Linked DNA regions of Caenorhabditis elegans. The protein of the gene in region 2 purifies or fractionates together with the protein of the main gene of each other region. This does not show direct contact. Each region holds a gene or a part of one and is shown on either strand. Other genes may lie near its edges.

Evidence for each region.
Region 1: the proteins of C15H7.4 (region 2) and acbp-3 fractionate together in Caenorhabditis elegans (co-fractionation; one large-scale study listed by BioGRID). This does not show direct contact.

What each region holds. Positions count from the first base shown.
Region 1 is NC_003284.9:10,901,470-10,906,269, reverse strand, and holds acbp-3 (Acyl-CoA-binding protein homolog 3), read right to left. Parts: upstream 2,999-4,800; 5' UTR 2,990-2,998; coding exon 2,929-2,989; intron 2,846-2,928; coding exon 2,725-2,845; intron 1,537-2,724; coding exon 1,443-1,536; intron 1,359-1,442; coding exon 1,284-1,358; 3' UTR 1,182-1,283; downstream 1-1,181. Other genes in the region: F47B10.8 (MARVEL domain-containing protein), read left to right, coding at 92-185, 307-416, 471-550, 602-678, 729-883. UniProt on the Caenorhabditis elegans protein: Binds medium- and long-chain acyl-CoA esters with very high affinity and may function as an intracellular carrier of acyl-CoA esters.
Region 2 is NC_003281.10:9,653,343-9,658,297, forward strand, and holds C15H7.4 (PH domain-containing protein), read right to left. Parts: upstream 2,561-4,955; 5' UTR 2,518-2,560; coding exon 2,476-2,517; intron 2,416-2,475; coding exon 2,282-2,415; intron 2,136-2,281; coding exon 1,968-2,135; intron 1,915-1,967; coding exon 1,696-1,914; intron 1,532-1,695; coding exon 1,381-1,531; intron 1,337-1,380; coding exon 1,067-1,336; 3' UTR 1,012-1,066; downstream 1-1,011.

The DNA of each region.
Region 1 (4,800 bases), on a different chromosome or scaffold from region 2:
ACTATAAATGTGATTTGAATAGTTTTTCTACGATGCAGATAATAAAAGAAAGTTGAAATATAATGTTTAAAAAACAACAACAACATTTCAGAAAGCGTGCCGAGCAGTTGCAGTATTTGCCTTTTTAGGATTTATCATAAACCTTGTTCTATATTTTATGGGCATCTCAAAACTCGGTCTAAACGGTAAGCACGTCACAATTTCTTGTTTATACCAACTATTTGCATACTTGTTTTGCTAAATTTATTCAAAATCCAATTTGTAATTCATTCATATAATTCTTTTCTCTATTTTTCTTTTTTGCAGGATATCTCGAAGCGTTCCTTCTTATATTCGACTGCATTTCTCTGCTGACTCTGTTTTGTGGTGTCTCAAAGCAACGTTCGGGATTGCTGAAGCCGTACTTGTTTTACAATGTATGTTTATTTTTTGCTTCGTTCTTTTTCATGAAACGTATAATTATGTTGCAGGTAATATGGAACTTTGGCATGATAATTTTGTTCCTGGTTTTTGTGTACCACATGTTGAAGGGAACTAGTGATGTATCGAGGTTTTGGGAACTAACAGACTCGGAACAAACTAAAAACAACTATATTTACAGGAACATCCTCGACAATCTTAAAGCTTTGCGATCAAATCCAGATGAGTATCACTTCCGATCAAGAGAAAGTGTTACCAGTGAGAACGATTATACTACTTGTGAATATTTATACTTCAAAATTTTTCAGCTGCAATCCTGGTCACACTGGGTGTGATGGCTGCCATGTCGTTTGTTATAGTCATAAATTGCATATTTTTGCATGTTGTCTACCGCACTTTTCAGTTTTTTGCATACCAGGAAGACAAGAAGAGAGAGGAAATGGATAAAAAGGAACGCTTATAACCTTTGCAATGTTTTATCTGAAATGTTTAACCTCGTGCTTTCTATTGAACTATCTCTTACACACAAACATTATGTTGATCTCTTATGTATTCCGAATTCATTTAATTTCCTTCTCGGGTGCTCGTCTGATTTTCATTTTTATTTTATATTGTGGATTTAAAATTTATTCACAGTTTCAACTCTACTGCAATAAAAATTATGTATACATACAATGTTCAAATTTCACTATTACAAATGCAATTCATAGTTTTCATTTTCATGCAAGATTCTTCCAATGTACAGTAAAACTATAGAGTTATTCAATTTACAAAATTAATTCATATTTATTTAGTATCAAGAAGCAATACAAATAATTATATTGTTCGAAATTTGAAAAAAAAATGTTTATGATAATTAAGATTTACTTTCCAATGAGAGCGAGGTTGGTTTTGATGACTGGGTCAATTTGTTCAAGCCAAGCGGCAACATCAAGTTCCTGAAAACAAAGTAATTCTGAACGTAACTACTAGTTTCTGCTACAAAAACTTCAAACGTTTGCCGACAAGACCCATTCACATACCTCGGCGATTTTGTCAAACATGTCGTTTAGAGCCTTGATATAACGCTCTTTAGCTTCATCTTGAGACACTCCTTCGAGCTCTTTCCATGAGTCCCTGGAAATCGGATTAACTGGGGTTGGTCAGGAAAATGCCAGTAAATACTGTGAGCCAGTTGGAATTAATTGTTATTTTTACATGGCTTCAACATCAATAGTCGCAACGTACCATTTTCAGACAAGTAGTTAAACTATTTTGAGTTATTGGAACTGACCCATCTAACTTTTTCAATTACTATTGTACATTTTATTAGAAATGTGTACTATTAAAAGTGCACTAAAAATCGGTGTTTGAAAAATTATACCAGCAGTCTGTTTAGAATTGCGATCTTAGCACTCCACACTTTTACAACTTTTTTTTTAGCGCCAGCCAATGAAATAAATAGAAAACATTACAAGATATACTACCTTTTTATGGATGTTTCAAAATCACGACTGTTATAATTAGATACGATCACTCGTTCTTTTGAAACTTTCTGATTTTAAATAATACTTGTATTTAAATTGCCTTTTTTGTATTATTGCCTTTTAGAATAAAACCTTCACTATCGCCAGCATTGAAATAATGTTCCACCAACACATATGTTTGATGGGTTCGTTCTTTTTATTCATGAACGAGTACTTGTGTAATATCAGTACACCAAAAAATCTTTTTAATTTTTTTCAAAAATACAATATGAGTTCTTTTTGAATTTTAGACTTAGGAAAAATCTAAACCTAAAAATGAATTGAGCATTAAAATGGTTATTTACGTTGTGGTCATTTTGGAATTTTATCCATTGCATACATTGTGGGATACAGTAACTACACAAGTACCCATGAACGGAATTATTTTTTGAATCCATGTTTCTACAAACGTGAAAACATTAATACAGGCTTCGTGTTATTTTTAAGGGGTATTTCAAACATAGTTTATGGTTTTGAAGAGACCAATGATCAGAAACGACACTCTACATTTCTTCAAAACTTTTTATTGATAATTTCACAATCATCCGTTCCTACTCGTTTTTTGTGGCACCATATTCGAAGAAAATGATAATTGCATCGTTTGCAGACACAACGCCGACATTTGTTGCATAGCGATAAGTTAATATATATTGCGGTCAAAAAATCAACACACATAACTCACGCAATTCTGATGCAGTTTAGCTAGCCACGCGGTCATGACTCATTTGTCAATGAAATAAGAAAAAAAGAATTCCCCTTTTTCGAATCAGACAAAGGAATAATGAAAAAAAAAACTGACCACTTCTTTCTCTCGATGATGGAGAAAATTCCTGGTCTATCGGTGTTCACATCTCCGATAGAAGCCTGTTTGAACAAAGAGTAAAAGGTAAGCTTCTGATCATTGCTGGTGGCAACTGGTCCTAGAAAAATTGTAAATTTAGCTTTGAATCAACTACATCATAGCATAGTTTGTAGCATTGTAGCGAATCAAAGTCCAACGTACCTGTTTTTGGAAGTTTCTGGATGATTTCCACAGCAGCGTCGAACTTTTCTTGAAGAGACATTTTCTGAAATAAGAAAGCGTTGAAATTTTTAGGTTAATGAATAGATTAAAAAGATTAAAAAGTTCGAAGCGGTTTTCAAATTGCAAATTGATTGACTTTTTCAAAGGCCTTGAAATAAACTACACCTATTTACTTAGTTATCAAACACGGTTTAAATCAAACAAGACATCAAAACGAGACTAGAATCCAAAAAGTACAAAACAGGGAGAACTGAACGTGAAGAAATCTGTGAGTAGTGCCGTTGGGCGCCGTCAGCCCGATCGGATTTACAAGGACAAACGGGCTGCTGCTGTTGACCTAAATCTTTTCCCTGGATATAAAGATGACCCATTCAGTATCGTGTCTTCCCGTGAACAAGACGTCATCTTTTTATCATTGGCGCTGGTCTTCGGGAAGGACAGTACAATTAATTGTCCGGAAAACTGCGGGTGAGAGATTACACTCATTTAAAGGATACCATTGGAGAATGGAATAGGATAATATCATTTTGAGAAAAAAATAGAATAAATTGAACTCAGGTATTTGACAATAGTAAAAACGTGTATTCTTATTGTTAGAATTTACTTCTAAATTGAAATTTATGTGGTTGCTGTACATCAAAAAATGTTCAAAAACCATATGAAATATTTCAAATCTTTTTAATATAAAATGTAAAAAAATTCTTTGTAGAAACTTCAATATACTTTCAAAATAAAATACACACGTACCAAAATGTATTTCACTTTTCTTGTAATATTCAGAGCATAACAAAAAGTGGGAAACAATCGAAAATAATAATAGAAAATAATCAAAGTTTACCATAAACTTCAAAAAAAAGTATAATATATTTATTTTATGAATTCACCGATTGTTGCCTTATTTTCTCTGTTGTTCGTATATTTTGCAAACTTTATGAAGACACCCAGTTTAAAAGAATTGAATGTTTTTTGAAATTTACGACTGTTTCCGATAAGTTACTCGTTTCAGACAGTTTAATTAAATCTTCAATTTTGCCAAATGCTTATTTGGATTACGTACTTATTAGTTTTTTTCTCGGATAAACAAGGAAAATACCTAGTTTGGAGTATAAATAATTTTTTAAACGTTAAATTTTTAGTAAATGTTTCGTAGATGAATTTTTGTCCCTCATAATGCTTGACGGTCGTCTTTTTTCAAGAATTACAAAAATCACATTAAAAGTTGAAAATAGGTTTTTAAAATATACAAAAAGATCATGACAAACACAATGATACAGACATCACATTAGATTTTTGACTATACAACGTGTTATCTGATAAGAACATGGAATTCAAGTTGCGTAGCTGCAGCAAACATTAGTGGCATGACGTTTTACTGGAAAGATAACCTTCCATGTTACTGCGACTAGTTTCAAATTTGGTGCTTAATGACCACGTGAGACTTTGTTGCGTGTTTTTATTTTGGTGGCTATGTTTTTCAAAAAATTTACCTGTCTGACAAATAGTAACAAACACATGGTAACTGATCAACCGTATTTATAAGATTTTAGAATTTTCAACAAAGTTAATTTTCTTTATAGAATAATTATTATAGTCACTGTTTTTACTGTGGTTGTATAATGTCGTTCTAAAATAAAAATAAAAAACTGTTCTGCTGAGTTCAGTAATAAAACTTTGTATTCATTTATACGTTTTCATGTTTTCGACGTTTTCATTTTTGTTTTCGTTTCCACGTTACGTTCCACGTTGTCACCTTTGTAGATGTAGAGATGATTTTGGTGCCTGCTCTGGCTGAAATTGAAGAGTGGTGTATTTTTGATCCATTACATTTCAAGAAAACATGTAAACTTTAAG
Region 2 (4,955 bases):
ACAGAATTGGAACTAATGAACGTTTTCTGTATTTGCATGATGCTTCAGCTGGCCTCAATTACATTCATGCAATGTCTATCACTCATCGTGATATTGCTGCTCGTAACTGCCTCATCTCAGTCAATGGTTTTGTGAAGTTGTCTGATTTTGGAATGGGTCTTAAAGTTCGTCGAAATGAGAGTGCAATGAAAGCGGAAGACAACGGTGAAGAACCTCATCTGCCAGCTCGTTATTCGCCTTCTCAAAGATGTCCTCGTATCTGCACCGACACAACGGACCACTGCAGACAAGTTTTATAACGAGGTAAGATTTTCAATCAAACGTTCTTTTGTTTTAATTTTAACTGACATTTTTTTCAGCTTCATGTCCTTTGTACTCAAAAAGGTACATTGTCATTGACCGGACTGACAATCAATCAAATTTGTGGAATCAGTCGTAAACGTGTTGAGCATGTAAGTTTGCAAAATAATTCTTCAAGAAATTGAATTTTCGGTGGGAAGGCTACATTCCACAAGTTGTCATCTGCGATAAGAATGGTAACGAGAGAGATTGGGGTGATGCACTACAGGAGATTTTGGCTAATGTTGTTTGGAGGGGAAAGAAGTGAAACATCGAGTTATCCCGGATCTTTTGAATCAGAACTCTTTTTTATTTGCAACTCGAAATAAATGGCATGTATTGAATTATTTTTGTTTGTTTCAAGAACGCAATAATGTTACTACATATATTAAAGTGGGCCTCAACTGTACGTCATCTAGAGCCTAGAAAGGCCGTCCGTTGTTGGCCACACAAAGTAAGTAGGCGGGCACGAAATAGGCGAGTAGGCTTGTAGGCAATAAGACATGAAGTATTTAGTAAATTATTTATAAACTTTTGGTAAAGAAGTTCATGAAGTTCCAGATTTAAAACTACTAAAAGAAAACGATTTATTCAAAAAGTAGTGTTCTATCACTTATGTGATTATTATCCTAAACTGTACGTAAAGTAGAGTAAAAGTACGAAAAAATGAGAGAAGTATTTTATTCTGATAGTGAGAAAAAGAATAAAATCAATATCAAAGTTCAGATCAAGAAATCTTGATAATCCCTGCATTCTCTACGGCCTTCTTCTTTTCAGGAACTTCAATCTCAACTGAAGATGTCGTCACAGTCTTCTTATTGTCTTCTTTACCAGGTGTCAATCCGCCATTACCTGCATCTGGAGTTGTTGTTGGAGCTGGCTTCACGATCTTCTCATTCAACTTGTTCTTCCCATCCTTTAAGGATGTTTCAGTTCCCTTCTTTTTCTCCTTTTTAATCTTTTCTTGTTCTCCATTGTCAGGCTCGGAATTCGTACGCTTAAACAATTAAATTATAAATCTAAAAAACAATAAAAGAGTACCTCTGGTTCATCTTTCGTTGGAGCTGGTAGATCTTGTGACTGCGTCGTAGCTAATGTTTTGGCTTCTTTCCGTTTCCGTGACTCAGACAATAGAGGTTTTGTGACAGTTTTTGAAGGTGTCTTTTTCACGTTTCTGTCCGATCCCTTCTTACTGAAAGTATATTAAATTGGAAAAGGAGGGATGTTATTAGGGACAAAAAGGGACGTCCCGTGCGACAGCGGACTACAACCGGATAAATAACCGGACAAATGGTTTGCCCGATATTTTCCCGCTGTTCCCGGAACTCCCCGTATGCTCATAACAGCCTCACTCACTTCTCAACAGATTTATCTCCACCATTGGGAACTACTTCCTTCTTCTTCTCGTTTGATCCTTTTTCTGATGGTGCAACGTATCCTTCTCGTGATCCTGTATACACATTTGTATCTGGTTTATCTGTCAGATCTGATTCTATAGTAGGAGAGGTTGTTGCTTCTTGATTTTGAAGCGGTGTTTTTATGTGAGTTTCGTGAGTCAATGATGTGAAATTCCCGCTGAAAATTGCTTTCTTTTTCATTAAAAGTGAAGCAATTGGATGTGAACGTACCTGACCAAGGCAGTCACAAAACAGTTTGCAGTAGATCCGATTGGTTTGAACGTGAGTTTCAATCCTCTTTCTGTCACCAAATTCACCAAAAAATCTCCTGCTTTCTCGCAGATTACTCCCATACTTTTCAATTCGTGAAGGGGATACATTTGGCCAATCAGAGGTTGTCTGGAAGCACATATTTTACATATTAAATGGAAATACATATAGTCATTCCCTGCATAGATATTCGAAGGTGTGACTGGTACACTTCTCCCCGCCGGGCGTGTAGCGTACCCCCTTAGAATGCAAATTGCCAATTTTTTCAAACTCACGAGTAAATGAAGATTTTTCCAGCCGGCTCACCATCCACTTTGACCAGAATCGCCTTTTGTTGTTCCCATTTCGATCTTCCTATCTTTACCTCTACTTGACAACATCCCGAGTTCGGAAGCGAGCACAGAGAATTCTGAGTTTTTTTTAAATGAAAAGAAATGTTACTCGCTTTATCCAAGAAAAAGAAACGTACCTGCTCTGGCAGTGAAATGTATTTTGGTTTCACCGAGCACATAGTTTGTTATGAATATTTTAAGAATATTTAAAATTGTGAAGATATCGAGAAATGTTCTTAATTTTTATGAAATTGGGGGGGGGGGGGGTATAAGGACGGAAAGGCTTTTTAAATAGAAAAACAGAAAGTTCACGCAAAACATAGTTAAAATTTAAATTTTTTAAACAAGTTATCTTCTAAATGAAAGCGTTTTCAGGGCCGATAGACAAGGAGGCAAACGCTACACAATTTGAAATTTATGATACCGTGAGTTTTTATCTGTATCGAAACCTCAGTGTGTCAGTTATTTGAAAACATTTGAGAGAAAGTTACAGATTACCCTGAAAGTTGAAAAACTCTTTCTTCTGAAATTTCAGATTCATGAAATAGGATAATTATAGTTTAAATCCCTCGACTCTAAATTTATCTATTAGTATATTCTTCCGTAATTTCTTGTTCTCAAACTAAAGATCAATTGTTCAGGAAACCCGTTCTGAATAGTTTTTCTTTGCTTTTCTTACACATTGCAACAATTGTTATCTACTCCTACTCCGAATGTTTGTTCTCCACTTGTCTATTGACCGTTAGTCTTTCTAACATCACATAGTTAAGATGACATAAAATGGCTTCATAAAAATGTTGTCTTTTTGTTTGTTTGGTGATTTTTTCGCCTACGATTTATAGACTGATCTAATAGAATCCGTTTACATTCACAAATAAAAAACGAAACGGAAAAAAGTGATTCTTCATAAATACCAGATTTGAAATGAAATTTTATCAGAAAGCTGCTGCTAAAATAATCAAATATCATAGTAACACTTCAAAAAAATCATTTAACATTTTTTAAGTTACATTCAAAAATGGCAATTACTCAATTTTCACCTATTCGGCTAGGTGGTACGATTTTTTGAATTTCGATTGTGTTTTATTTATCTGTATTCAATCAAACGTCGTAGTATATGATTTGAAGCATTGATCAAGTTCAAATTTTTCAATAATTTGGCAGTGTGCCGAAAACTTTGACTGAAAATGTCAAAAAAAAACCTGAAACACTTCAGTTTCTATTTGGATATGTAGAATTTTTGACATTTTTTAAAAAGTATGTTTCAAAAAATCCCCATTCACGCTGCATTATCTCAAACAATTAGGATCATAGCTTCCAATTTTTTCAGATAAGAATGATTTGAAATGGCTTGTCTTTTGAAGATGGAACAACAATTTTAGAATTTTCAAAGAATTCAATCAAAGTTTTGAAAACTTTTGAGCTTCGCTCGACTTCTAAACTTATATCATCTGAGTTTTCACCACTGTTTTTTTTCGATAATTGAATATTTTAACATAATTAAAACGGTTTTAAACAATATTTCATCTATTACAGTTTTTCTTGAAACGAAGTGATATCCAAACTGCCATGCCATACTGAGAAATGTTTGATTGTCCAAAATATTCAATTCGATGTTATTGTTAGTAAACTTTCTCATCAAAAAGAGCAGTATTTTCTGGTAAATGTCACACAAAAAATCGACCTGAATATTTTCGTTTTTCATTACATGAATTGTTATTTTAAATAAATTACGTGGTTTAGAAATGTTTGATTATCTTTAAAAGACAACCGATTTTTTTTTGTTACAATCAGAAAACTCCACAGCCATAACTTCTTTCTGATAACTTAAATTTGAGAGCTGTAAAAAATTGGAAATTTTCAGATTAATTCCCTATTTGTTCGAGATCTATTAAATTTTTCATTTTGTAGATATTTTAAGCGCTCCCTACGTATCTGTGAAAACATGTCATTTCGAAAATATAAAAATTTTGTAACTAGTCGTCAATCGTAGAGGACATTTCACTCCAACCTTGACAAGAACACCTTCCTCCACATGGTCCCCTATCATCTTCACCAAAGTACGACTTATTAATGCCTTTTTGTCTAGACACAGCTGTCGCTTTCTCTGTGACCCTACCGAAAAAAAAAACTATTTTAGTAGAATAAAAAGAAAAATAGTGGGATTTGTCTGATGCCCAGAAAACACGAGAAATCGTTGATGAAAAACCAAGCGCTGTCTGCTCCTGCTGTTTTTTTTTTTTTGAATGACATCAAACATCATGGCTCTAAAACAAATAAATGATCTGAACAAGAATTTATGAATCTTATGAAAAAGTAAATTTTCAGCAATTTGCCGATTTGTCAGAATATTTAATTTTTGACAGATTGCCGATGATCAATTTACCGAAAATATTTTAAAGGGATTTTTAATAAAAAAAGTACTTGTAACCAGGGGTGCCGGACAATTGCAGTTCGGCAATCGAATTTTCGGCTATTGCCGAAAATTCACAAAACCGGCAATTGCCGAAATTATCGATTGGAAATTAGAATTTCCGGAAATATACATTTGATACTTTTTGTATGTTTAGGAGCCTTTAATCTATTATATTATAATGAACCATTTCAATTTCCGAAA